Linked DNA regions of Notamacropus eugenii. The main gene of each other region encodes a partner of the protein of the gene in region 4 in a complex. Links are inferred from orthologs where the notes say so. Each region holds a gene or a part of one and is shown on either strand. Other genes may lie near its edges. The genes, in order: MAP3K5, DCP1A, ARHGEF6 and PAK1.

Region 1 (7,146 bases), on a different chromosome or scaffold from region 4:
ACCCTATATTCAAAGAATATATTTGTATAAGCAAGTAAAAGGAAACCCATCAATTTTTTCTCCAATTTTCCAAAACATGAAGTTCCCAATACATTTGTTCAAATACAGCCATTCTTTAAGAGTAATACAATGCATATTTGCACTTTCATAAACTACTTCAAAGTTATAATTAGCATTATATTAATAATCACTGCAGTTTAATTCATAGCCATTATATCGCCTTTGCTGGACCTGTTTAACTCTGCAGATTCAACTTTCAAATTCAAGACAGATGATTTTTTTTTTTAAAGCATCAGAGGGGATTATTTATTGTTTTCAATTCTACCATTTACCACCTGTGCAACACTGGGTAAAACACTTTAGCCTCTCTGAGCCTCAGTTTCCTCATCTGTCAAATGAGGAGACAACTAAGCAAAGGTCCCCTTCTAGCTTTAACTTAGCCATTTATAATACATTCCTAAAATCCCAAGTTGAAACTATGAGAACAATTTCCCAGAGAAACACTGTTAGATTCCACATGGGAATAATAGGTCTACAACGCTAATGGGTGCAGTTTCTTTGTGTTTGGCAACTATAACCATCAATCAGTATTTGGTAGAATATAAGCAGTAAAAATAATCTTATTAAGACCGTGTTTCCAATTAACTTAGGAGTTAAGCTTCCAGAGAGTATAAAGTAGGAACTTTTTAAAAATCCACCTAATACTGCAATAAGACTAAATATAGCAAAGAAAGTCTTTCCTTGATTTGCACTATTTTTGGTTACTTCTTTACTATTTTCCAAATTTTGTGCTCCAAATAAAAGTTACTTTTTTTTTAAGGTTTACATAATTCAGATAGCTAGCAATAATGCATGACATGTATGTTCAGTTATGCAGGCCAGCACTCTAGCAAATACCAGAACCAGAAAGACCTACTTTTATTTAGTCTGTCTTTCCTAACATGAAGTTCTTTTCCTTATTTTTGAACTACTGAGACATCAGCCATGGCTGAATTCCAACACTGACATAACCACCCTTCAGGTGTTTTGAAGAGCCTGAATGGAAAGACAGGCCTGAAAACAAGTCCAGAATCTAAAGCCTTTTATGTAAGCACATACACTCGATGCTTACTGCACTGAAATTGCTTCAATCAGATTTTAACCCAGTTACATTAATGCAAACATATGGTTTGACATGCTCAACAGTGTACTGATGTTCAAAGGGCCACAGGAGGTTAATTTCATACGTACATTCCTGAAAATATTCTGAATGTTTCAGCTTATCTGTCAAGAGAGGGCAAACTGCTTCAGTTGCTAAACAAATTCCCCACCTCTCAAACTACTGTAGCAGGTGTTAGAACAGTACAATAAAATTATTTTTGGAAGGGATTATGGGAGCAACTGCTTTAATTACCTATAGTTCAACTTGATCTCATGTGGGCTCTCAAGAAAGTCATTAACGTTTTAAACAATGTGTAAATTGATAAATGTCCCAGGATACAGCACACACAGTTTGGCAAAACACTGGGTTCTTTCCCTCCAACAATGTAACAAAGACAATAGAGAACTTGAGTGTTTGTTACAATGTCATTACTGCCCTAGAGAACAAACTTAGAAAATGCAAGTAAGTGGGGTGTCTGAATTATAGTCATCAAAACTTAAGGTAAAATAAGACTGGGAGGAAAAATCAGTCTTAAGACAAAGTGCATGTAGCCAGGTTGGTACTGTCTCTGAAGCCTGTTCTCTATCTCATACTCTAAACCTAAATGAGACACCTAAAAATCTAGTGAAGAAAAAGGGAGGTGAGAGGAGGGACCGTCAACTGAAAGTACCAAACACGCACCCTTAGAAATGGTGAGATCAACACCAAAGATGGGGACAGAGGTGAGTGGAAAAGACTAAATATGAATCCCAGGGAGAAGAAAGATTGGTATAGGGCTTAAGCTCAGCACAACTTCAGGATCCTAGAGTTCCTGGGAGGAGAGGAAAAGAGGACTCCCTCTTTCACATTCCCAGGGAAAGGAGAAACGTTCCTTCTCAAGTGCTGCCACACTCAATATGTTAACACCCTACTAGGCACTCTCTCGGTACAGGGATACAGACCAGAAGAGGGGAGCTGCTCAAGCAAAGAAAAAAATAAAGTGGGGGAAGGGAGAGGAGGAAAGAGCACCCATAGAAGGAGGAAGAAGAGCCGCAGGAAGGCTCCCATCTCGCCCACCTGCATTGTAGAAGCGATCCAACACCGCGGTTTCCCCGAAGTCCAGTTTGCCAAAATGCAGGGTCTCCAGTGCAGCGCCCACCGCCTCGCACGCCTCCCGCAGACACTGCAGGGCCTCGCTCTCCGCCACCACCAGCTGCCCCTGGCTCGCTTCGTTAATCACATATGCCACGGTGGTTCTACGGTTGCCGCCGCCAGCGCCAGTCGAGTTGCCCCGACTTCGGGGGGCGCTCGGGGGCCCACTCGCCACCGCAGCGATCGAGATCCCCCCTGGACAGGCGGCCGAGGTGCCGCTGCTCTCCACATTCCAGAAGCTGCCGGGTGGCGGTGGCGGTGGTGGGAGCTGACTCCCCTCTCCTGAAGCAGCAGCTGCAGGCGCTGCTGCTCCTCCTCTTCGGCCGCTGCCGCCCTCCTGGAAGGTGCAGAAGCCCGGGGGGCTGAACGGGGGCACGGGGAAAGTGATGCCCTCGCTATCCTCCGCGATCATCTCTTCCAGGGGCTCTCCGGCGGCCGCGGTGGGGTCCACCCCCCAGCCGCCCCGTCTCGCCAGCCACAGCTCGGGGCTGCTCCGCGCCCGCCGGGCTAGGCAGCTGCCATCTCGAGCTGAGCCCTCACCGCCGCCACCGCCGCCGCCTCCACCGCGGCGCCGCCTCTTCTCCGGCGCTCTGTCTCCCGGAGGGACGCCGCTACCCGGCGGCGCTTCTCCCCTCCTGGGCGCCTCCGTGGCGGTGTTTCTAGCTCGATGCAAGGCTCGGAATAGAAGGGGTAGGAATAAGCTGTTGGACGAGAAGGAAAAAAAGCGCTTCCTCCCTGTCTAGGGCTGGCCGGGCTCTTAGCAGACCTGTGCCACGGGGCTGCCAAGAGGCTCTAAGCTCCGGAGACTCCGTGCGCCACTGACACCATAACGCAACGCCAGCTGCTCTCGCGGCGTGCGCTCTCCTCTCCGCGGCGCGCTCTCTGGGGACCACGGGGGTTTCCTCTCCCTTCGGGAGAGTCACCTGGCTGGCACCTTACCGAAGGGGATTGCCGAGCGTTGTACACGCACACCAGAAGCCGCAGCCGAGAGGATCCGCCTCCCCAGTCAACTGCAGCTTCCTTCTCCTCCCCTTCCCTCTTTTCTCTTCCGATCGTGGCGGCCGCCTCGTCTAAGCGCCGGCCCGCGGGGCTGGAGGCGTGCGATTTCTTCCAGCCGCTTGTCCCCTCTGCTAACTGCCTTCTTCCCGCCCCTTTGCTGGAGCCCGGAGAGTCTGGGGCCAACCCCCGGGGGCGGGCGCTGCTGGGAAGCCCTAAACCGAGGTGAAAGCGACGGTGCTACCGGTCATCAACGCTCCCTAGGTCAGTCTACAGGACTGGTGCTCAGCTAGAGGTTGTCTGTTGCCTCTGGTTTTCACCATTCAGCTACCTACCTCAGAAGAGGCTTTTTACGCGAGCCCTCAGTTACTTCAAACTGCGGGGGGCTCGTACAAAAAGTCTCTCTTGCCATTGCTAAAGTCGTTTTTTGCTGCGGTTGGTGTCTGATGAGACGGTCCCCGCGGCCATGGCGCCCTCCTCTGGTTTCTGTTTAGCTCTGCTCTCCTGTTTAAGCTGTGACTGCCTGGCCTGAGAACTCGTGGCTTGCGCAACCATGGCCCTGATTTCAAAGGGAGCTGAGCTCCGAGGCGGCGGAAAGCCTTGTCTGGCCCCGAGGTTTGTGCGTAACACATCTGAGCTTGGACTCCGGGACTAGCTTGTGAAAGATCTGAGGTGGTCCTGGGGTCTTTCCTACTCATTTTTGAAATACCGATGCGAGGATGGGGGGGGGGGGGGGGAGGGAATAAACATTTATTAAGAGCCTACTATGTGTCCGACACTGTTACAAGTGCTTTACAAATGATCCTCACAACAGCCCTGCAAAATAAATGCTATTATTATCCCCATCTTACAGTTGAGGAAACTGAGGCATTTGGCCAGGTTTGAACAACTAGTAAGTCGTTAAATCTGGATTTGAACTCAGTTCTTTCTGACTTCAGGCTCAGAGCTCTAGCTGCCTCTAGGTGGATCCCTTCCCCTTCTCAGAATGTTTTTTAGATAAATAAAATAAAAAGCATACAAGGAAATCAATTACATTAAAATTATTAATGCGTGTGTGTGTGATTTAAGACTTTTGGTTAAAACCTCTTGGATTAGATGAATTCTAAAGTCCTTTCCAGCTCATACATTCAATTGTTGTGCTGCCTCTCCTCTAATTTTTACATAAAGGCTAGGTACCCCTTGGTCTGAAGATCCCCAGTTCCCCAAGGAATCCTAAGATATGGAATAACGTCTTCATTCAAGTTAAGACTTAACATGTGCCTGTTGACACTCTAGCTCTAAAGAGGGGAGGGAATACCTATTATGCTGTAAATTATCCAGGAGTTTGACCTAGTAGCACAGCTAATCCCCACATAGAACATATAGAATGTATCCATTGACCATGGGAAAGGCATTGGAGGGTCACTTAACCTTGTTCCTCACCCATGGTCCAGTTTGTCACAGAATCTGAAGTCAGAGGTTCTGGGTTCAAATACCATCTCTGCTTCTATCTTTGTGACCTTGATTAAGTTGCTTCTCTCTCAATTTCATTAGTAAAATTGGGGAAGTTTATACTAATTGATAAGTTCCTTTGCTAAATCTAGGCAGTGAAGGGTAGGGGTCTGTCTTTCTAAAGCAACAGCTCACAAGCCTCCACCTTTGTAATTTCTCCTATAACTATCGGTTTGTTCTGTTGTTTTTCAGTTGTATCTGACTCTTCAGTGACCCCATTTGGGGTTTTCTTAGTAAAGATACTGGGGTGGTTCACCATTTCCTTCTCCAGCTCATTTGAAAAATCAGGAAACTGAGGCACACAAAAGTGACTTGCCCAGGATCACATAGCTAGTAAGTATCTGAGGCCAGTCATTCTGACTCTAGGAACAGCTCTGTATCCATTGAGCCACCCATTTTAGACTTTTAGAAGGGAGTACTGGGCAGCTAAGTGTTTCAGTGTGCCAGGTCTGGAATAAAGAGAGAGAGAGAGATGACTCAGAGTTACTGGGGAAAGTCCTCATTTCCCCCATCACTTCTCCAGGAGTGCTCATGAAGTTTCCATCCCATTAGGCATGGAGTGATAACAGCTTTCTCCTGGACTCCTGGTAGTCTTTGCATAAGACAATCCAGTTAAGTGACTTGCCCAGGTTTGAGCAGCTAATAAGTGTCAGGTGTCTGAGGCAAGATTTGAACTTAGGTCCTCCTGACTCTAGGGCTAACGCTTTATTCACTGTACCACCTAACTGCTCTGCCTCTTTATAGTCTAGAAACATCATTTCTTCCCTACATCTAATTTGTGGCTTCTGATGTAGACTGTAGCTAGCTGTAGCAAGGACTCTGCGAGGATGCTCATGGGAAGTTCCAAATCCTCTGGATCCTTCTAAGCCCCCAAGATTCTCCTTCAACCAGAAAAGGTGGGAGGGAAGAGTCTGAGACTAAACCTAAAGAGCTTCCCAGGGTTGTGGTTAGCTGAACTTTAACCATTAAGCAGACAGATGTCCCAGTGCTTGAGTTCCAAATCTGGTTTATTCTATAGAAAACCCACAGGGCATAACCAAGTCTCTTCAATCAATCTAAATATACTTCCTTTTCATACATTCCATTTCATACAATGAATTTCAAGCACTTCTAAGTTGATCGAGGACTTTTCATACCTATTCTAAAGCCTTTCATTGATTGTTTGATCCACAAAAAATGACAAGGTCTTCCTTGTCCACACCTAGTTCAGACCTCTGATTTATTGGTTCAATAAAAGTTTTATTACATGACACAGGTATGGGAGGGGGCATAACACCTTGTCTGTAACTTAAAATGGAGTGGGATGACTGGTCTGGTTCCATGCTTATGTAGTTTACTGACTCTAAGTTGGGCCTGGGGTTCTAGAGGCCCCAAGGGGTCCCTCTACTCTTTGTTCAGTTGGGTACCAAGTGATAGAACAGCACTGGCCCTGGATGAGAGGGGGGTTTTGATCCCTTTTTTACTAAAGAGCTATGAACCTTCTACTATGAACCTTCAGTCATAATTCCTAAAATCTGATAGCCTCGTGCCACAATAAAGGAAGTATTCTAAACCGGCTTAAAGGTAAAATGAAAAAATTATGGACAAGTATAACCTAGTATAGTATTCTCTGAGCAAACTACTAGTCTATAATATTTTAGGGATGTAAAAATCTACATATCTTCCAGCCTCACTACACATAATGGGTAATGTACTACAATAAATATTGGTAAATAAGCATTCAAACAAGCAACTTAAAAACTGACTACAGTACAACTGTAGTTTAAAATAGAAGAAGGAAAAAAATCCAGAAGAGAGGGAGGAAGGAAAAAAGGGAGGAAGAAAAGGGGGGAAGGAATGAAAGAAAAGAAAAAAAGGGAGGGAGGAAGGAAAAAAGAGGATGGAAGGGGACAAAGATGGGAAAGAGGGAGGGATTGAGGAAGAAGAGGAGTGAGGAAGGAAGGAAAAAGGGTGGAAGGAAGGGAGAAAGGAAGGAAAGAAAAGAAAAAGAAAGGAGAAAGGAAAGACATAAGAAAGAAAAAAAGGAAGAAGAAAGGATTTATTAAATACTCACTATGTTAAAAGCACTGTGCTAAACAATTTACAAATGTTATCTCATGGTATTATGATCGTCCTTTTACACTTGAGAAAACTAAAGCAGACAGAAATTCAACTAGTAAATGAGGCTGGATTCAAGTGCAGGTCTTTCTGATTCCCTGGCCAGCACTAGATCCACAGTCCCCTCTAGCTACCTCTAGTAGTTGCCGCTAGAAATCAGGGAACCACTACTGAGAGTCCAAGGCAGGATAGGAACTCTGGCCTTTCTGATTCCAGGTCCAACATTTTATCTATGTCATGCTGCTTTTCTAGGTGTTCACTTGACTGTATCATCATTTCAACCAAAGCCA
Region 2 (7,188 bases), on a different chromosome or scaffold from region 4:
TATTTTGTATGAAGAGAAGCCGTTGAATTTTGAGGTGACCTCCTTGATTTCTTACAGGTATACAACACATGTGAATGGAATTTTAATGATTTGTTTAGAGACTTAGCCTTTTTTCATTTTCCTTCTTTAAGCCAGAAGTCTTTAAAACTTTTAAGCTGAGACAAGAAAAACCCCATGAGATCAACTCTTTCAGAACAGCAGGAAGCATCTCCTTCAGTTTTCCCCAGTAGGAGCATGCTCCTTCTATCCCAGTGCTCCCCTTCCCCCATCACCCATGGCCTCCCTGAGACTCTCCATACTCTCCTACACAACCAGCTCGTCCTTTTGGGGTCTCTAACACCACTTGGCCTTCATCACCCTTCACTGGTACCAAGCTGCCCCTCTACCCTTTGGGAAGTGTTCTCATCATTCGATGTCTCCCAACATACAGTCAGGAAAACTCATCTTTCTGAGCTCAAATCTGGCTGTGTGACTTAACCTTGTTTGCCTCAGTTCCTCAACTGTAAAATAAGCTGGAAAGGAAATGACTGCCAAGAAAACCCCAAATGGGGTCAGAGAGAGTCAGACATGACTGAAACTAATGAACGAAACCAAGCCAGGGAGGACCAGTTCCCAAAAGCACCTGGAATCGTAAATACCCCAGCCAGGCTCTGCTGAAATAAAAGTGAGGATGGAACTAGCCAGCCTCAGAGAACCACAAGAACCTTCACTTGGTAACCAAGCTTTGACTCTTACTTATTCACATCAAGTTTAGAGATACTATAACTATGAAAGGAAGCAACATGGCTACATACTGCAATCCTGGCCACCACCAATGGGTCCCCAGTCCTTATAGCACAGAAGAGGAATACTGTATACCTTGAAGAAATAAAGGAGATACAACCAGGTGGAAGGAGGGTTTAAAAGCCATTTAGTAAAACAAAGTGTCCAGCTAAGATTCCTGCAACAGTGTTTTATCTTGGGATACATTATACAGGCTTCCAACACTTTGTTAGATCATTAGGAGGTCTGTAACATTACTGATACAATCAGCTGAGCAAAAAGTCACATAAGTTTGAAGGGCTGGTTTGAACCTTTAAAAACCACCCAGGAAGAACAGAAAACACATTTTAAAAATATTTTTATTATCTTTTAATTTTTTCACTTAAACTGATTTTCTCTTAAATCCTGGTAAAATAAAATGCCTAGGGATCAAACTGGGCAGATGGTTCCCCATTGGGTTCTCTGGAGCCTGGGCTCAGAACAAAGGAGTGGCCCTGGCCTTTAGGGAGAACATCAGGGGGAAACACTGGCTTGTTCATCTAAAATCCCCGCAGTGTTCAGAAATTATTCTGGGATGTGGCTCCATACTCCTTCATGCCCTACTCCCTTGCCCCCATGTCTTCTGGGCCACTTTGGGCCAAAAGGACCTTGGAAACTATGAGTCTTCCCAGACTGGATGCCCTTTGATGAGTCAGCATCCTTGTTTGTGAAGTCTAGGGCAGGCCCCGAGGACTTGAGCTCCGGATCAATCAGTCAACATTCATTAAAGCCTACTATGTGCCAGGCACTGTGTTACAGAGTGGGGATATAAAAAGAGGCAACAGTCCTGGCCTCAAGGAGCTTCCAACCTAATCAGCCTGAGTTTTATCGTTTACTAGGCGGGGAACCTCATGCTGACACTGAGAGGAAGCATTTTCCTTTCTTATAAAATGAGGAGAGAGCATTGGAGTGGGAGTCAAACCAGGGTTCGAATCCAGCCTCAGACCCTTCCTCCAAAAGCATGGGTGAGTCAGTCTGAGAAGCCTACAAAGACTTGGCCAACCTAAGTGTCAGAAGGGCAGGAAATCACAGATTCTTCACCAAATGACAAACAGGTGGGACCCTGGGGCTACATCCAGATCTGGAAGAGGCCTTAAAGGCCTTCCTTTATAGGGAAACTGAGGCCCGGGGGGTCAGATACCTGCCCAGGGAGGCACCCTAATAAGTGGGATGACATTCCTGGAGGGATGAAGTAGCCGCATGCCAACCTCACGACTCTGGGGTCCCCAAAGCTGGGGCAGATGTGAGCAGGGGGGTCACTAGCGGCTGTGCCGCAGGACAGGAGTATGTCCGCACGCTGCCAGCCAACAACTCAATCATTCAACAAACTCAACAAACCAAAGCCATTCAAAGAGCGTCCCTTAGGCAGCTCAGGAAGGAGACCCCCAAAGGGTCCTGGGCTTCGGACTTCAGACTTCGGCCGTGCCCCGTCGCCCATAACCGGCCCCCCAAACTCCCCCATACAGTGGGGGAGGGGCAGCCCCTCAAACTGCTCTATCTAGGCGTCCATCCCAACCCAGGGCAGCACTTCCTTACAGGAGATGAATGTAGAGGGATCTCCTCATTTTAGAGATGGGGAAACTGAGGCACAGGGAGAGGAAGGCGCTAGACCTGTGCTCCCATGCGGTGACTTGTCCTGGGTCACCGAAGTCGGCTTTGGTTAAGGCAGGATCTGAACCCAGGTCCTGTGGCCCTAGCCCCCCCATGGCGGGCCTGTATACAGTTGTTTGCTTCTCTTGATAGCTCCAGCGCCTGGCATACAGTGGGCGCTTCATACGCGCTTGTTCTTGGTGGCGCCTACTGTGTGCGCCGGGGGCTGTCTGCGCTGTCTTCTGACAGGGGAGGGCACGGAGGCCCGGGCAGGGGGCAGGACCTTCGCCCTAGGCCTGGGGCGGGCAGGGCCTGGCTCAGCGAGTCGCGGCCCAGCCCGGCGGCCGGCCCGGGCCTCAGTCTCCCCGGCCGCGGAATGGGCGCAGCGGCCGCGGCGGCGGGCCCGAGGGCGACACTCACCCACTGGTTGGCCTCGGGGCTGAAGGTGTAGAGCGCGACCTGGCCCGTGAGGTCGGCGATGCTGGTGATGTAGGGGTCGTGGCGCCGCAGCGCCGCCAGGCTCATCTCGGCCCCGGCTCGACTCCCCGCCTCCATCTTGGCCGCCCCCCCCAGTCAGCGGCCCGGCACCGGAAACTAGCGGGCGGGGCCTCCCATTCAAACCTCCGGGGCCGCGGCGCTGACGTCACGGATCACGCAGGCGCGTTGGCCGTCTCTGACGCCGCTGACGCCGACGCAGAGTGCGGGCAGCTCCCGACCCCTCCCAGGAGGAGGCCCAGCCTCTTCCTGTCCCGCCCTCCGGCGCCGGATCCTGCGTGACCAGCGCGCGCGGCGAGCACGAGCCGGTCGCCCGAGCATACGTCACCGGGGGCGCCCCTGGCGCATGTCCGTTGGGGCCCAAGTCTACCTGGGTGGGCGCCGCCTTGGGCGAGCGAGCTCCTCGGGGGCGGGGCTGGCTCCTTGCTGGGAACCTTGGGATGGAACCTGAGCTTCATGATAATGACGTAATCATGAGGAATGAGACCGTGGCCGCTGCGGCGCGGGAGGCTGAGCACGACGGCCGCGAGGGGGCGCCATGGCACGGGGAGCGCTGGCCCGCAGTCAGCAGGGCCTGAGTTCAAATCCATCCTCTGACGCTTCCTAGCCGGGTGGCCCCGGGCAAGGCCTTGCACCCTTTCTGCCTCAGTTTCCCCATCTGTCAAATGAGCTGGAGAAGAAAGCGACCAGCCCTGCGGGGAAACCCCCAGCGGGCGGAAGTCGTGCCCGGGGGGCGCCGCCCATAGGACGTGGTCATTGTCGTTCATTCGCAGCCCCTCAGCCCCTCCCCCAGCCGGGGTCCTCTGTGGGTCCCCCGTGGGTCCCCCGTGGGGCCCTCGGTGTCCTCCTCTCCCCCGGGAGGGGGCTGACCCCCGTGTTACTGCCCTGGGCCGGGCGGGGCAACGAGGAGGGTTCTACAGACGGGCAGTCCCGGCCATGCGTGACGTCATCCGTGCGGATAGTGGGTGGGGTCCCAGACCCCCCCACCTCCCCCACCCCTCACCCTCCTTGGCCCCAGGTCCGGGGTTCCAGTGTGGTTACTCCCCCTTTTTACAGAGGAGGAAACTGAGGCCGAACGTGCCTGACTCGCAGGCTGGCCTTCCTGGCCCGGCCCCCGCCAGGGCCGGTGGTAGCCCGGCTGGGGACAGGCCTGGACGAAACCGGAGCGGCTGCCCCTCATCCCCTCGGCTCGCTCCTCCGCAGGTGGGGGAGACAGCCCAGCGGGGGGCACTCCCAGTCCGACCCCTCGCCTTACAGAGGGAGAAGCAGAGGCCTCGGGAAACGCGTGACCTGGCCACGATGACGTGGCTGGCAAATCCTGGGGCCAGGATTCCACGTGGCCTTTGGGAGGCAGGGGGCAGGAGCATCTTGTGTTAGGAACAGCAGAGAGGCTGGGGGTGTGTGTGTGTCTGTGTCTGTGTGTCTGTGTGGTGAGGTGAAGCGGGGCAGGGGGCTAGGGATTGAATGCCTGAGGTTTTTCTGTTTGGTCCTGTAGGTAATAGGGAGCCACTGGGGTTTATTGAGTAGGGGGAAGAAAAAGAGGCCAAAAAGCAGGGACTGAGGACACTTGTCAACAGCTAGATCCTACTCTGGTCTTTGGAGCAAAGTGTTATATCCTGCTCTTTATTATTTGGAAGCTAAATGGATCTTACAGAGAAAAGGATTTCCTTGATATGCCTAGAAGCAGGACCAGTACAACTGCAGCCGGCCATGACTTGTCAGTTGAACTCACCAAGGTGACCCCCTGCCTTATAAGCGTTCCATAGAGTCGGAGAACTTCAAATGAGAAACATAATGATATTGAAGAACTGGGTGGTGATGGTCTCATCAGGCTGCTCTTTGATAAAGCCTTAGCTGGACTGGGTGAGTCCTTCAGGGCCCTTGTCTTACTGGCTAGGGAGGGAGGGGATAATCTTTTATGAAACACTTCCTGTGTGCCAGCCCAATATAGAAAGAATCTCAGCTGTTCAGGCCAAGTTTTCTGACCTCCTCCAATGCTCTTCCTGTTATATGACCCCTGAGAAAGTCTTACATACTTCTTGCCTCTCCAAACCAAGCCTTAAACCCTCTGGGCCCTAAGATATCCCTGGGAAAAGGTTCAAGGCCCTTATTCTCTGATCTGTGTTTGGGGCCACCTGCTTCTTTACACCAGAGTTGTAATCCAGATAAGGACTTGGGTGTTACAATGACAGTGTTGACCCTCTCTCTTCATGGAAATTCGTTCGGATCCTTAGCAGTGAACAAGCCTTTATTACATGCTTCACCTGTGGCTCCAAGAAGCTGTAGCATGTGCAGTGGCCACAGCACAGTAAAACCACCTTGGCAGGGTGAACCAGGTTGAGAGTGACGGAGGGGGCCTCAAACCCACTGATGAGTTAGGGCAGTGTCCACCCCAAGCATGTGAAGACTTCCCCTGCCAGAATGGGCAGATGAAAACAATTTGTTCCAGTGGCCATGAAGGTGGCTGAAGCAGGCACTGTGGAATGCTTAGAGGTTGTTCAGAAATGAAGATGCCAAGGTCACCCACTGCATCCTAGGCCATGCCAGTCATCCTGACTTTTGTCTTGTCATTGGACTTTGATGACTCAGGAAGAGAGTGAGGCTGACAACTTTGGGCAGCTCTGCCTCACTTAAATCCAATTCACCCATGAATCAAGACGCTACTCTGTAATGTCATTGGTCCTCTTGGAAAATGAAGGATGAACAAAAAGTTATGTTCTCAGCAGGCATTGTGCTAAGCACTAGGGATACAAAGAAAGGCCACAGCATGGTTTCTACCCTCAAAGAGCTCACAGTCTAATGATGGAAAGAAAATGCAAGTTACTGTGTACAAATCATAGTTATACAAAGAATAATTAGAAGGTAATCTTAGAAAGAAACTGCTAGCATTGTGTGTGGAGGGAGGAGGACTTGGAAACAATAATAGCTAATGGGGGGTGGGAGGGGAGGAAGGGAAAGAGAGAAAGAGAGAGAGAGAGCATGCAAGCTAAATAGTTATATCATTTTATCCTCACAATAACCCTGGAAAGCAGGTGCTATTATTATGATCCCTATTTTACAGATGAGGAAACTGAGATAAATATCTTGCCCAGGGTCACACAGCCAGTAAGGCTCTGAGGTCAGATTTGAACCCAGACTTGTTCTTCCTAACTGCAGGGCCAGCTCTCTACCCAAAGCACCATTAAGTTGCCTCCTACCAAAGGTGGCATTTGCAATTTTTCTGATGGATGAGTTGGGGCAGGTTAAAGGCTGGGACTGAGGCATTCCACCTCAACAAGGATCCAAGCAGGAACCACTTTCGCCTGTTCGGGGCTTGCTGTGTGTCAGGCACAGGTATTCAGAGCTAGAGATATCCACCTGACTGGCTTAGCTGCAGACAAACTGATCTTCTCTGGGGGGGTTGATCCCCCTAGGGTCATCCTGTTTTCAGGGTTTTGATCTACTTGCTTCCTCCTGAAAAACTAGAGTCTTAGGGGTTATTTTGTGATGCCATTAGGGAAAGTTCTCCAAGAAATACTCAACATGAATATTCAACAGAAGAATTAAACAATTATCACCTGCCAACTCGAAATGACTCTTCTTCCTACCCTACTCTTTCTTGGTAAAACTAAGTCAATCACTTTACATGCACCTGTGGGATACACGGGCCTCTTTCTCTTTGACTAAATTTAGTTTTTCTCCCACACAGTCTTCTGAAATAATTAAAGTGGTCTCTTTATTTTCTGCCTGGTTAAGCAACATCAGCAGATCTGGAAGAGTGAAGAACACAACTTATTAATAGCATTATTTACATTTTCAGTAGGAAATGGCTTCAAAGGAGAATGGGTGGAGATCTGCCCCTAGACCTGTCTAACAGCATTGAAAATTGTGAACATGAAGGTCCTTGTCCACACTGGGAATACTTGAGTAGCAAATACTGATCTTGATTCATGCTGAAACCTAAAGGTTCCCCCAAAACAAAATATGACCTTAGGAATCCAGGGACATTTGAAACTTAGAGTGTGACAAGTCAGAGGGAATTCATTGAACCAAGGAGAGGTTGAGTTGACTGGGGTGATAGAAATCATATTTTATCAGAAGCAGCAATCAAACCCAGGTCTTCCTGACTCCAAGTCCAACATTTTGTCTACTACAATGGAGAAGCTACCTCTTTTCCAATCCCATGGTGCAATGCTGCAGTGCCACCTCTCCCACTTATATAGAATTTTAATGTCCTTTATGTGCATTATCTTATCCTGATGCATTGTTAGGAAACCATATTTTCTTCCTTAATTATCTATGTGACCTTGGCCTACTCACTGG
Region 3 (6,983 bases), on a different chromosome or scaffold from region 4:
ATGACTGAACAAGTTGTGGTATATGAATGTAATGGAATACTATTGTGCTCTAAGAAATGATGAACAGGAAGACTGTTCTGATGCTGATGTGAAAGGAGTAGAACCAGGAGAACTTTGTACACAGCAACAACCACAGTGTGTGAGGAATTTGTCTGGTAGACTTAGTACTTCACAGCAATGCAAGGACCTAAAAAATTCCCAATGGACTTTTGAGGCAAAATGTCTTCCACATCCAGAGAAAGAACTATGGAAATGGCTCACAGAATGAAGCATTTTCTTTTGTATTATGTTTTGTTTTCATGGTTTCTCCCATTCATTTTAATTCTTCTATTCAACATGACTAAGGTGAAATGTATTTAATAGGAATGTATGTGTAGAACCTATATAACATGACATGCTGTCTTGGAGAGGGAGGGAGGGGGGAAGGAGGAGGAGGGAGGGGAAAAAAATCTAAGATACATGGAAGTGATTATAGAACACTGAAAACAAATAAAATAATTTTTAAAACTCTCCCAGTTTACTTTCAAGTACCAGTATGCTACACGAGAAAAGCCATGAGTTTGGAGTCAGAACATTTGAGTCTGCATTCTGACTCAGTCATTTACCAGATGGTGACCATAGATAAGTCACTCAACCTTTATGAGACTATATTCTCCCATCTACAAACTATAAATGATAATAGTAATGGGTCAACTAGGTGGCACTACAGTGGATAGAGTGCCAGGCCTGGAGTCAGAAGTCTCTTCTTCCTGAGTTCAAATCCAGCCTCAGACACTTTCTAGCTGGGTGACCCTGGGCAAGTTACTTCATGCTGTTTGCCTCAATTTCCTCATCTGCAAAATGAGCTGCAGAAGGAAATGGCAATGCCCTCTAACATCTCTGCCAAGAAAATCTCAAAAGGGGTCATAAAGAATTGGACATGACTGAGGAACAAGAAACATCAACCTCCCAGGGCTTTTCTTTTTTTTAAATTGAGGATGTTCTATAAACCACTGTTGTATAAATAGTGTAAAGCACTATTGTGACTTGTGTCAATGCTAGTGTTGATTCTCTCAGTTACATGGGCCTTGGTTCACTGCTTCCTTAAAATTGATGAATAATGTGACATGATATGTCTGCCAAGAATATTTCAAAGTGGTGAGCGAGGATACCTGCTTCCTCCTCTTCGTTCTGCCAGTTTTTTGTTGTGGGACTGAGCTGTGCTTGCCTGAGCTTTAGTTGAACCATCTGAATGATTTTAGGGTTGGTTGCAGAGTTTCTAGAATTTTAAAATAATACTAGTCCTGATAGTGTTGTAAAGATCTGCCGAGATACCATATGCAAAAACTCTTTGTAAGCGCGAGATTGGCCCAGAGAGGCAAATAGTTATTTTACAGGGGATGATCATTTGTCAAGGACAAAGTTATGCATATAGATTTTACATGACATCACATGTGTAACTGATATCATTGCTTGCTTTTAATATGTGGGACAGGAGCTGGAAGGAAGAAGATAAGGTGGAATTCAACATTTAAAAAAATGAATGTTAAAATCAAGTATTCTTTTTAAAATTATTATTAAATAATTTTATTTGTTTTCAGTATTCTACAGTCACTTCCATATATCTTAGACTTTTTTCCCCTCTCTCCCCCTCCTTCTCCCTTCCCTCCCCATTCCCTCCCTGAGATGGTGTACAATCTTATATAGGTTCTACACATACATTGCTGTTAAATACATAAAATCAAGTATTCTTTAAAAACCTATATACAAAGCATTGATCTTATGAAGGATTTCAAAACCATATAGATAATTAAAATTTATTCTTCAGAGCAGTAATTTTAAAGGAAAATACTGCTATGATATAGTATAAAGGGAGATGTATTGACTTTGGAGTCAACAGCTTGCGGTTTGAATCTTAGCAGTCTTATTTCCAATCTGTGTGACCTTGGGTAAGTCCCTTCACTTCACTGGGCCTCAGTCTCCTCCCCTCAAAAATGAAGGGGTTGGATTGTGCCATAGGGGGTCTCCTCAGTGTAGGTTTGTTGTGCTAATTTTCTGGGGATCTCTTCCTAAGGGTGGTAGACAACGAGCATATTACAGCAAGGCCTATTATGTACGCCAGGAATTGGACCAAGCTCTGGGTTATAAACGAAGGACAAACCAATCTCTGTCCTCAAGGAGCTTCCATTCCACTAGGGGAGAGGACATTAACTAGCTAACTCCATATAAGATAAAGACAGAGTTGAAGGAAGGTAATTTGGAGTGGAAAGCTCTTGGGTCATTGAGGACTGGGAAAGGCCAATCACACAGAGAGAAGGGGGGCTGTAAGCAGAGTCTTGAAGGAAGCCAGGGAAATTAAGAGGGGGGAGGCCAAATGAGAGCATTCTAGGCCATTCCAGACATGGGGGCCAGCCAGTGCAAAGGGAGGGAGGCTTGAGATGGAGGGTTCTGTTAGAGGAAACAGAAGGTCTAACACTAATCCAGTGTAGCTGGATCCAGTGTGTGCCAGGGAGCAGAGTACAAAAAGACTCACAGGTAGGAAGGGGCCAGAGTGTGAAGGGTTTAACTGCCAAATAAAGAACTTGTATTTGCTCCTGGAAGTAATAGGGAGCCACCGGTGTGGGTCATGGTCAGAAATAGTCAGATCCGAGTTTTAGGAAGGTCCCTGTGGCAGCTGAGTGGGCCATGGATTAGAGACTATGTAGGAGGCTCTGGTCGTCTAGGTATCATGGACCCAACCTGAGTGCTGCTGATGGCATGAGCAGAGAGAATATTTAGTTTCCCATCTTCTTCTGATGACAACAACAATTACTGAGCAGTCACTTCTAGCTTTTGCAAAGAACAATGCTATGGTATTCGTTTCCCACCTATGAGGGAGTGACAGTTTGGAGAGAGTCTACCACGTTGCCAATCTCATCCAATCCAATGCAGTCCAATAGACATTTATTAAATACCACCGAGGATCATGGGCTTTGAGCTAGAAGGAACTTTAGAGATCACTGAGTCCAAGCCCTCCCCACTCCCATCAGATCTTCTTCAGAAGAGAGGACAGTGATGCACAGAAGCGTCAAGTGACTTCCCCGAGGCCACATAGCTGGTAAACGTCTGAGGCAAGATTTGAACCGAGAGCTTCTGAAGGCCCCGTTCAGCTCTGACTCCTCTAATCTAAATAAGAGCAACAGCTTTCATTTGACTAGTGTTTTTAGGTTTGCAAAGTTCTTTTCTCCCAACCAGCCCGTGAGGTAGAGTTGGAAGATCCCCAATTTCCCAGTGTGTGGTGTGCACTCCTGGCAAATGCTATTTTGTTTTCCAATTCTTCCTGTTTTTGTCATTATTTTCTTCAATCCCCCGATCCCTTCTTTCCCCGCCACCCCCAGACACACTTATTTTTAAAGCAACATGTTCTGGCCCATGTTACTGTGTCCAAGCCTTTGGCATGGGTTTTGCAGCTGGATTGTGCAGTGGGCATCAGGTCCGGAAAGAAATACGAAAGGAGGTAAGTAAACAGGGTGGCAGATGTTCTCCTTCTATTTCGCTCTTTGTCATGAAAGAAAATGCCATCCTCCCCGCTTCTGTGCCAGCCTTTAGACTTCTGGGTCCTCCTCCCCAGACCTCTTAAAGAGTATCCCAAGAAGTCGTGGCACCCAGCATCTTTGGGTGAGAACTTGTGGCTGGACAGCCATTCCTGGGATACATTTCCTGCTTCTCCCTTCTTGGAGCCCCACTGCCATTTCCACTGATTCCCCGAGAAAGCCTGGATCTGATCTGTTGGACATCCAAGCCAGTTGGCACCCACTTCCTGACAGAAGCCAGATTTTGTTCACTGAGGCTAGACTATTGACAGCTTGTCCCCAGGCTGGCCCACTCACTTTCTCATTTGCAAGGTTCCCTGCAAGGCTGGCTCACCTCTTTTTTCCAAGTGTCCCTACTTCCTTCTGTCCCCTCCCTCCCCAGCATCCTCTTCACTTCCTTCCCTTACAGCCCTGGCTCCTTCAAGTGTCTGTCAGTAGGAGCTTGTTTTTCAGTTGGGGGGTGGGGTGATGTGTATTGAAAAATACAATCATGCTTGTCCCTGGTTCTTCCCCTTGCTCTTTCTAGCTTTGCATAACTGAGTGTGGTCTCTGTGGTTAGAAGATCCCACCTTTGGAGTGGAGGTCCCACTGTGGCCAGAGAAGAGTTATCTCCACTGTTTGCACAGCAAGTGCCCGAAGAGAGAGCCCGGAAAAAAGGAAGACAGCACCCGATGCAATCGCGGATGTGGGTAAGACCTTGCAGCTGCTTCGGGTGCACAGTCCTCGGCAATGAATCCCGAGGAACGCATCGTGACATGGCTCATCTCTCTGGGAGTTTTAAATTCCCCCAAGAAGACCATCTGTGATCCGGAGGAATTCTTGAAGGTGTCTCTGAAAAATGGGGTAGTGCTATGCAAACTGCTAAATCGGCTTCTTCCTGGAGCTGTGGAAAAGGTAACTGAAATGGCCATGGTCTGCTTCCTTGGCCTACTTGGCTGCTTCCTCACCCAGGGCCCACTGCCTCCTGCTTCTAGGTCTGGGCCCCGGCTTTCCCCCAGACCTGAAGTGCCCTCCCTGCTCACTTCAGCCTCTTAGAATCTCTAGCTCTTCCTTCAAGGCTCAGCTCACCTGCCTTCTCCTCTAGGAAGCCTTTCTTTATCCCTTTAGTTGGTCTTCTTCCTCATTAGGTGGTGTATTTGCCTATCTGTTTATGTGTTGATCCCCCCAGTGGAATACAAGCTTCTTGTGGGTAAGGACTGTTTCTTATTTTTGTCTGCCTCTCCGTAGCACATAGCACAGTGCTTGGCACATCAAAGTAGATGTTTAACCAATATTTCTTGGCTTCAGACTGCCTAGCCCACATAACCTGTGAGTCAAATACTTTGTGTCTTTCCACTAGCTAGCAATGATTCCTCATCATTCATGTCTGAGAGGGATGGGATATGGTTCATGGACCCCTGGTAACTACCTCAGTACGGCCATTCTAGCATTGAGACAAGGGCAACATCCACCAGAAAAGTATTTCTTGTTAGAGTGAGTGAGATGTCAACTGACCTCCCCATGAACTAAGGACACAATTTAATCAGAATCTATGAAATTGTAAGATGTTTAAATCTAGGGCTGATGGCATAGCTGAAATGAATGTATTTCTTTAAAAGTTTACTTTTAGCAACAAGGAGAACCAAGCTAGGATGCGTGACTTCCGATAACAACTGAAACTAAATGGGTATTTGAAATGGAACACATAATTCCAGGAAGATTAAAATGTAGGCATTCCCCCCCACCCCATCCTCCTTTTTAGATTAGCACAGTTAAATTTTTGATGCTTCCCCTGAGGCTAGATCTTTACTCCAAAGGTAAAGGCAGTTTTCTAAAGGAGAACTCCAGTATTTAGGGAGTGTGCCCAAATAAACTGAGAACTGGGGAATAGAGGTGGGAGCCAAGTATGACTTGGACTTGAGTTTCTACAGCCAGATTGTAACAACTTTCTAGGCTAGAAAAATGATATATTAAAATACCGTGCAGGATGCATTTGGACCTGGTACTTGTTGGGTCAAATGTCCAAGTGGGGTGCAATGGAAAGATTTCTATTTGGGACCAGAGGTCCTGGTTTCAAATCTCAGCTTGGTTGCTTATTAGCTGTGAGACACTGGGAAAGTCATTTAATTTCCCTGGGCCTCAGTTTACCCACTGTAAAAGGAGGGGGTTGGCTTGGATGACTTCTGAGGTCCTTTCCTTTTTAGATCTGTGATCCACTGTGTTTTTGCCTTGGGCAAGAACTTTTACCTTAATGGGCCTCAATTTCCTCCTCTATCAAATGAAGGAGTTCTACTACTGAAGGACTTTAAGGTCCCTTCCAGCGGTAGAGCTAGGATCCTACCTGTGATCTTGGACCAGTCTTTCCCCTCCCCTCATTTCCTCCTCTGTCAAATGAGAGGGGCTGAACTAGATGCCCCTGAGGTCCCATGAACCCTAAATCTCTGATACTATGAAGGTTCCTATGAAATGGTAGAAAGCAGCAAGGTGGAAAATGTGCTTTTCATATATTTGAAAACAGTAACACAGTTTAAAAAATCCAGACACATCCTAATATCTTGGGATGGGGACAGAGAATGAAGAAATGTATATAGTCCAAATAATTTTGGACTCAGAGTTGGGAGACCCTTCAGTGGGCCTTTAGCCTGGGGCTCTGTTCTGAAACTGATATTTGAAACAAAAGGCCGTTTAGATTTTTACATCATTTCCTTCAATGGTTACTTCTCTTCCTGGTTTGAAAGCAGCCTTCCCCTTTGCCTTCAAAAAAAAAAAAACCCCAAAAGCAAACCAAAACCAAAAACCTACCTAGTTCTCATAAAACATGAAGCATGCTGGGCCTGCTTGGGAAACCCAACTCACAGAGGTTCTCTTGATCATTTCTTTAGTACCATCAGGAGCCCCAAACGGAAGCTGACTGCATCAGTAACATTAAGGACTTCCTCAAAGGATGTGCAGGTCTTCAGGTAGAGGTAAGTCAGTTGGCCCTGGCAACCTCAGTATCAGCATCATTAGTGCTTTTGGTTTTGTTTTGGGCTTTGTCATGCCAATAAAGAGGGGATTTGGTATTGGAGTAGAGGAAATCTCACTTGTTTGCTTTTCCCAATAGCCATTGCAAGGTTGAAGATTAGGCCCTTTTTTATTCACCCCACAGGAGAAATTGATGGTCACTTTGGTGGGAGGCTGTCTTTCTCAAAAATTCCTGGAAAAGACAACAGCAGAAGCAAGATGATTGTCTTTCACAGTCCAGCATGAAAGTTTTAAGAGTAAACTCAGATGGAACTGATGTGCTCTATGGCTGCTTTTCTCAGTCTCGAGGAACATTAATGGTTTAGACCATGATGTCCAACTCAGACAGAAACTGAGGATCATTAATCTGCACATAAGGATTCCTGTGGCCTTCACACTGACCTAGTTTTAAAATGTAATATTATCTTTGTTTTACTGTACTTTTATTTC
Region 4 (7,294 bases):
GCCTGACTTGGGAATCTGGAAGCTTGGTTTTTGGTACAATACAACACACATTAAGTGAGTACCTGTTATATGCAAGGAAGGCAGCTGGAGTCTAGTCCTTAGTGAATGGGAAACTGGCTTTTGGAGTCAGGAAGATCTGATCAGTGATCTAGGCAATTCTGTAAGCCTTCAGAGCTGTGTGAATGGTCAAGGGAGTATCTGCTTCTGGGGGGCTCTATATAGCAATAAAATTACAGGTCCAGTTCTTATCTGAGCTACATGCAAGGCCCTGTGCTAGGTATTGGGGAAATAAAGATGTGTGGGACATAGGTCTTGTTTGCAATCTGATATAGCTATGATAAGAATTAGGAATTCAAAAAGGACCCACATGGACAAAAATATTTATAGCAGCTCTTTTTGTGGTGGCAAAGAATCAGAAATTCAGGGGATGCCCATCAATTGGAGAAAGGCTGAACAAGATGTGGTATATGAATGTAATGGAGTACTATTGTGCTATAAGAAATGATGAGTAGGTGGACTTCAGAAAATCCTGGGAAGACTTATGTGAACTGATGCTGAGTGAAGTGAGCAGAACCAGGAGGACATTGTACAAAGTAACGGTTACACTGTGTGACGACCAGCTTTGACAGACTTAACCCTTCTTAGCAATGTAAGGATCTAAGACAACTCCAAAAGACACAGGAGAGAAAATGTTACCCACATCCAGAGAAAGAACTAGGGAGTCTGAATGCAGATTGAAGCATAATATTTGCTCTCTTTTTTTTGTTTCTTCTTTCTTGTGGCTCCTCCCATTGGTTCTAATTCTTCTTTACAACATGATTAATGTGAAAATATGAAATGTATAAGTAGAGCCTATATCATATGGCATGCCATCTTGTGGTGGGAGGAAGGGAAAGAAATTTAGAACTCAAAATCTTATGGAAGTGAATATTGAAAACTAAAAATAAATAAATAAACAAATAAGCAAATAAATATTTTTTAAAAAGAATTTTAAAAAATTAGAAATTCACTAATGCTGAGGGTTTATAGGGCAGCTGGGTGGTGCATGGGGCCTGGAAGGGGTCAGGACCACTTGATTCAAATCCTGGCCTCAGACACACTTACTAGCTGTGTGACCCTGGGCAAGTCACTTAACCCTTATTTACCTCACTTTCCTCATCTGTAAAATAGCTGGAGAAGGAAATGATAAAGCACTCCAGCATCTTTTCCAGGAAAACCCCAAACAGAGTCATGAAGAGTGGGACACAACTGAAATGACTGAACAAGTGCCAAGGGGGGTTTTCAATCCCTTCGTGAGCCTGTGGATGATGCTACAGGTGAATGAGATTTTTAGAAATATCATCAAGTACTGGGGCTCCAAACACTAATGCCTGGAGAAGCTATTCTAGCTCTTTCAGTTCTTACTTAGCCTGGATGCTCCCCACTGGCAATTTCTCATTTGGTCTCCATACCCAGAACACATGAGAAGCTGGAGGTGTCCCTGACAGGTGACCACCTCGGTAAGTAACTTGGAGCATTCTTGCCTCCCTGAGCCTCAGTGTCCCCATCTCTAATATGGGACAACAACCTTGATCTTGAAGTCAAAAGATCTGAGTTCAAGTGGAGTCCTGACACTGACAATTGCTAGTTATGCGATCTTGAGTCAATCAGTTTCCCTGCTGAACCTCAATTCCTCAGGAATTGGACTAGGTCAATGATTCCCAATCTTTTTAACTTTGAGAAATTTAATGGAAATCCCTCCAACATGATAATAATTGTAACTTTGATTCATCGAATCAGAAAATATACAATACACAAAGAGCTACAATGAATTCAATGACATGTTTCAGTGAATTTGTATTTTATTAATCACAACAGTATCTACATATGTTTGAGAGATGGCAATAGATACAAGTGTGAGTCATTGTTTGTTCAATCTAAAGAAGGTCTGCTTGTTTATTAATTATCCTTATCAAACTTGCAGAGGAAACAAAGCTAGTGGGCAATATAATAGTTAATAAAAATCAGGTGGTGCAGTGGGTAGAGCACTGGGCCTCAAGACAGGAAGTTCTGAGTTCAAATTCAGCTACAAATACTAGACTAGGGCAAGTCTCTTAATCTCTACCAGCCTCAGTTTTCTCATCTGTGAAAGGGGGAATGATAATAATGGTGTTAATCAGAATTAGGTAGATGTTCTTTTGCCCTTTTCAGAGATTTGAAATTTGGTTGAATTGAAGAATGCTTCAGTCCTAGGTCTGGTTCCACCTTCAGTGGACCCCTTTGCAATTACCCTGTGGTTTCCAAGGTTCTGTAGCCAGGACTTGGGGAAACAAGTGGCCCTTTCAGCTCTCAGTTCTGTAATTTGTAGAACAGGGGAATACTTACACTATCTTCCTCACAAGATAATTGAGGAAAACAGTTTATAAATCTGAAATCCTACAGAAACATTCCTACGTTGATGATGATGATGATGGTATATGTGTGAGTATGGGTAGAAAACTTCCAGCATAGATATTCTCTCCATGCAGATGAGCAATTCGGGGTGCCCGATACTTCCACTCTCTCAGGGGAAGTAATACTAACATAATACATATTTATTTGTTTTCTGATTCTTCATGACCCAGTTCAGGTCTTGGCAAAGATACTGGAGTAGTGTTGCCTTCTCCAGCTATTTTACAGATGAGGAACTGAGGCAAAAAAAGGTTAAGTGACTTGCTTAGGGTTACACGGCTAATAAGTTTCTGAGGGGAGATTTGAAGTCAAGTCTGTAGGCCCAGGGGCTCTTTCCACTGTACCGCCTAGCTGCCCAATAATAGCATAATGAAATATGTATTTCTCTTCTTGATCTAAAGGAAGGCTAGCAGAATCTTGGGTGATCTCCCTGAGAAATCATAGAAGGCCACAGACAAGAGTTAGACAGGACCAGAAGACATGGATGCCTTGCCACTTGTACCTTTGGAGGGAGTACCCCACCACAGATTCGTGGTGTGCTGGGACATCTTTAATAACTGGCTCTGTCCAAAAGATGCACAGGACTCACTTTTAAGCTTAATTTGCATTATTCGCATTTTCTCCATCACTTTTAAAAGTTTCAACAACTGAAAAATAAATCAACACCTGATTTCTAGCATTTGCCATTTTTCACTCTGAAAATTTAACAATCAGCTTTACCTCCAGCTTGTGCCAGCATGGAGGTCTTTCTCCATATCAGCTCTGCATTGATATCCCGCCCGCACTGTACCCTGATGGCCTTAGGCCCTCTTGCTCCACCTTCCTTTACCATATAAAGAGAGCCAAACACACAATGGCTGAGACCCATGTGAAATCTTGTCATACTTAGCTCGTTAAATACAAAATCTGCCATTAGTTAATTAACTCAATAAACTTTTATTAAGCACCTACTATGCGCCAGACACTGTGCTAAGTGCTGGGGATATAAAGAGGCAAAAGACAGTTTCTGCCCCCAAGGAATTTACAGTCTAATGAGGGGGACAACATGCAAACAAATATATAGGAAGCAAGCGACACACAGAATAAACAGGAAATATTTACGAGAAGGAAAGCACTGCTATTAGGAGGGGTTAGGGAAAGATACAACAAACACTATTATTACTGTATTTTGCCACTAATAAGCAATTCCCATTTCTACAGGCTTTAAGGTTTACAAAAATCTGTCGAGGTGGTGAGTGGACGCATTATCAGTCCCATTTTGTAGGTGAGGAAACTGCAGCACAGAGAGAAATGACTTGCCCAAGGTCACAGAGTCAGACAGAGTGGGCTTGTTTGCTCTCTCCTGCCTCCAAGGCCGGTCCTCTTTCCATTACATACACTTTAGGGGCTCTTCCACTGTCCGAAGAAGCACAGATCTGAGGGTGGGTGGCATCCACAGAGAGGAGCCCACAGGTCCCCAGGGTCCACCAGAGGAAGAGGTCAGGTTTGCAGAAGAGAGGCAGGGAGAGGGAGGGATGCCTGGGCAGTGACGTCACGTGCCAGCCGGGAGATTCCCCTGTCTCTTGCGTCACCCTCACATTACGTCACCCCAAGCAAGCCCTCTCCCTTCCCCCTACTCCCTGTGGGCTTCGCTCACGTGTGTCTGTCCAGTTTCCCTCCTCCCCTCGGCCCCTCCTCCTCCTTGACTTAGTCCACTTACTTCAGGGGAGAAATTGGGGGAAGGGAGGCTCAGTCCTGACGCCCGCAGCCTCCAATGGGAGAGGCTGGGAGTTCTGGGGACGGGAGGCGGCGGCCGGTGGAGATGGAAGGAGGGGTGTGAGAGGGAGGGGAGGGGAGGGGAGAGGAGGAGGAGGAGGAGGAGGAGGAGGAGAAGGACTGGGCTCTGGAGCAGCTGACAATAGAGACGGCTAGAGAGAGGAGGAGGGGGAGGACGGGCAGCGAAAGAGGCGGCAGAAGGTAGGGGCTGCATTGTGGACTCACCCCCTCTCCCTCCCTCCCGCCTGGGACCCCGTGGGGAGAAGGCAGCCGAGAAAGGCGGGCGGGGGAGAAGAAGGGGCCGTCCGGGCAGCTGGGGAGAGAGAGCGAGAAGCGGCGGAGGGGCGGGCAAGAGGGAGAGAGAGAAGGTGGGAGGGAGAGAGAGGAGGAGAGGAGAGAGGGAGTGTAGGGGAAGCCAGGGGGAAGAAGGGAGGCAGAGAGACCGAGAGCGAGGGAGCGATCGAGGCAGAGAGGGAGGGATCCAGGGAGCGAGGGAGCGATCGAGGCAGAGAGGGAGCGATCCAGGCAGAGAGGGAGCGATCCAGGGAGCGAGGGAGCGGTCACGCAGAGAGGAGGAAAGGACAGAAGCCGGGCTTGCTGCGGGAGCGGCCCCAGCAGCTGGAGGAGCGAGTCTGAGAAGGTGAGTCCCGCGGCAGCGATGGGCGTGCTCGGCTCGGGGGTTCAGCTTTGTGCCGGCCGCCACTTGAAGCCCAGGGTGGATTCGGGTGGGTGCGGGGAGCCGACGTCCTGGGCACGGGGTGTGTGTGGGGACTGTCCTGCCCCTTTCCTTGGAGGAGGACCCCCACTCTGCTCCGGGCTGCTCTCCCTTTCCCCGCCGTCCTCACCCGCAGCTCGGCAGCTCGGTGACTGGCGGGGGTGGGGGAGTCTTCTCCATCTCCGGACAAGTTCCCCCCAGGCTGAGGATGGGACCGGAGCTGGGGGAGGGGCGCCAGGTGAGTTGGCTGCGGACTAGACGGTGGGGATGGGGTGGTGGAGTGAAGCGGAGTTCGGACTGAAGGTAGAAAGTTTGGAGCATGGGCGGGTCGGGGGCAGGCTCGGCGGGGCAGCCACCCTTAACCCAGGTTCCCGGATCGGCTGCCCTGGGCTGGCCCAACAAAGACCGTCTGGCCCCTTGGGGTCCTTGCCCGGCGGCTAGCTCCGGCTGGGACGGAGTGTGGAGCCTGCGGGGGAGGGGCAGCAAAGCCCCGTGGGGGGCTGGGTCTGCCCTGGGGGTTGGGGAGCATCTTTTTGCTGGCTGCAGGGAGGGGGTGGGGGCGGGGAGTCGGGCGCAGGTACAGGTTTGGCGACTTCCTCCAACTTTGCTTTTCTTGAGTGACAGACTCTGCGATTCTGCGAGGTTTAATCCAATACGTTTGGACTCCCCTGAGTATTATCCATCAGTCAGTCAGCGAACAGTTACTAAATCCTTACTTTGTGCCAGGTGCTGTGCTAAGCGCTGAGGACAGAAAAAGAAGCAAAAGACAGCTGCTGCCCTCAGGGAACTCACAGTTTGATGGGGGAGACAAGAAGCAAATAAATGTGAACAAACAAGCGATAAGTAGGAAATCATCAGAAGAGAGGGGGGACTGGAATTAAGAGGGGCTGGCCAAGGTTTCCTGCAGAGGATGGGATTTTAGTTTGGACTGAAAAGAAGCCAGGAGAGCCCAGGGAAGCATGCTTTTTGCCGAAGTAACCCGGCTCAGGTAGGCCCAGGAGTCATCTCCTGGGGTAAGAGCGGAAAGGGGCCCCAGAACTAGCCTCCTCCCTTCACCGAGGTGGAAACTGTGGCCCATGGAGGTTCTAAGAAAGAAAGCACTGCTACCAAGTGGCTTAACTGGAATTAGAATCCAGACCCTCAGAGGCCAAACTCCACATCTTTTTGAGGGCTCCTCTTTGTCTTACAAAACCTAATCTAGTTTTTGCTTCAGTAAATATTTATTAAGTACTATATACGAAGTCCTGTATCAAGCCTTAGGATTCCCAGGGAGGGAAAACGTTCACTTTTCTGTCATCCCTTAAAATTGACTAAGAGCTTTCCTCACAAAAACCCTGTGATATGGAAACTAAGTTGTATTATCTCCATTTTACAGTTGAAGAAACTGAGGTGCAAACAGGTAAAAGTTATTTGTCTAGGGACTGGAATCCAGGTCTTCTGACCAGTGCCCTTTTCACTGTGCCTTGCAGATCCTAGAAGTGACAGGGTCCTTACCCTCAAGGAGAGGCAGCTTGGAGTCGGGGGATGTGGTGCTGAAGTTGGAGTCAGGAAGACCTGGATTCAGATCTACCTTCCTGTCTGTGTGATTATGAAGAAGTCATCTCACCTCTTTGAGCCTCATTTTTCTCATCTGTAAAATGGGACAATTTTAACCTGTCAAACCTACTTTACAGGGGATCAAGTGAAATAATGTAGGTGAAGGGCTTCAATTAAAATGTTATACAAATGGCAGTTATAAAATCTCATCTGCTAGGGGAGATACACCATGCATAGAATAATTCAAGCTATAAAGAAAGGACAAATCAGTCCACAAGTGAGCACCTACTATGTGCCAGGCACTGTGAATACAAAGACAAAAGCCATCCCTCCCCCCAAAGCAAAGGCCTTGCCTTCAAGGAGCTTAAATTTCTGCCAGGAGAAACAACCTGTATGTTTAAGTATACACACGTATATGTGTATGTATGTATGTATGTGTATATGTATACATATGTGTGTATATACATGTGTGTATATATGTGTATGTATATATACATACACATATATATGCATACACATAAACTATAAAGTTAGGAGAGGAAGAAGGCACTAAGAGCCTTTGGCAAGTATTTGCCAGGTGTTTAGTGATTCCAGGATGGGTGAGTAGGCAGAACACTCCAGGAATGGGGGAGAGCAGGTGCAAAGGCAGGAGATGGGATGTCATGAATAGGCCGTAACTGGCAAGCACCAGGAAAGGTGGGTTGGAGTCAGATTGTGAAGGACTCTAAATGCTAAACAGAGCATTTTTTTCTGGAAGCAATAGAGAGCACCTGGAAGTTTAAGTAGGGAAGTGCCTGGGGTCAGATCTGTGCTTTAAGAATACCATTTTGGCATCTGTGCAGAAGATGAGTTGGAGAG

The links.
Region 1: PAK1 (region 4) and MAP3K5 share a complex: the UniProt entries of both Homo sapiens proteins name them as parts of the cytoplasmic complex. The link is inferred for Notamacropus eugenii from reciprocal best matches to the Homo sapiens genes PAK1 and MAP3K5.
Region 2: PAK1 (region 4) and DCP1A share a complex: the UniProt entries of both Homo sapiens proteins name them as parts of the cytoplasmic complex. The link is inferred for Notamacropus eugenii from reciprocal best matches to the Homo sapiens genes PAK1 and DCP1A.
Region 3: PAK1 (region 4) and ARHGEF6 share a complex: the UniProt entries of both Homo sapiens proteins name them as parts of the cytoplasmic complex. The link is inferred for Notamacropus eugenii from reciprocal best matches to the Homo sapiens genes PAK1 and ARHGEF6.

Annotation. Positions count from the first base shown.
Region 1 is NC_092873.1:223,165,783-223,172,928, forward strand, and holds the start of MAP3K5 (mitogen-activated protein kinase kinase kinase 5), read right to left. Parts: upstream 3,010-7,146; 5' UTR 2,685-3,009; coding exon 2,198-2,684; intron 1-2,197. UniProt on the Homo sapiens protein: Serine/threonine kinase which acts as an essential component of the MAP kinase signal transduction pathway. Plays an important role in the cascades of cellular responses evoked by changes in the environment.
Region 2 is NC_092874.1:478,412,335-478,419,522, reverse strand, and holds the start of DCP1A (mRNA-decapping enzyme 1A), read right to left. Parts: upstream 3,002-7,188; 5' UTR 2,947-3,001; coding exon 2,812-2,946; intron 1-2,811. UniProt on the Homo sapiens protein: Necessary for the degradation of mRNAs, both in normal mRNA turnover and in nonsense-mediated mRNA decay. Removes the 7-methyl guanine cap structure from mRNA molecules, yielding a 5'-phosphorylated mRNA fragment and 7m-GDP.
Region 3 is NC_092879.1:58,084,612-58,091,594, reverse strand, and holds the start of ARHGEF6 (rho guanine nucleotide exchange factor 6), read left to right. Parts: upstream 1-3,977; 5' UTR 3,978-4,280; coding exon 4,281-4,445; intron 4,446-6,412; coding exon 6,413-6,496; intron 6,497-6,983. UniProt on the Homo sapiens protein: Acts as a RAC1 guanine nucleotide exchange factor (GEF).
Region 4 is NC_092876.1:125,967,414-125,974,707, forward strand, and holds the start of PAK1 (serine/threonine-protein kinase PAK 1), read left to right. Parts: upstream 1-4,272; 5' UTR 4,273-4,386; exon of another isoform or gene 4,387-4,825; intron 4,826-7,294. UniProt on the Homo sapiens protein: Protein kinase involved in intracellular signaling pathways downstream of integrins and receptor-type kinases that plays an important role in cytoskeleton dynamics, in cell adhesion, migration, proliferation, apoptosis, mitosis, and in vesicle-mediated transport processes.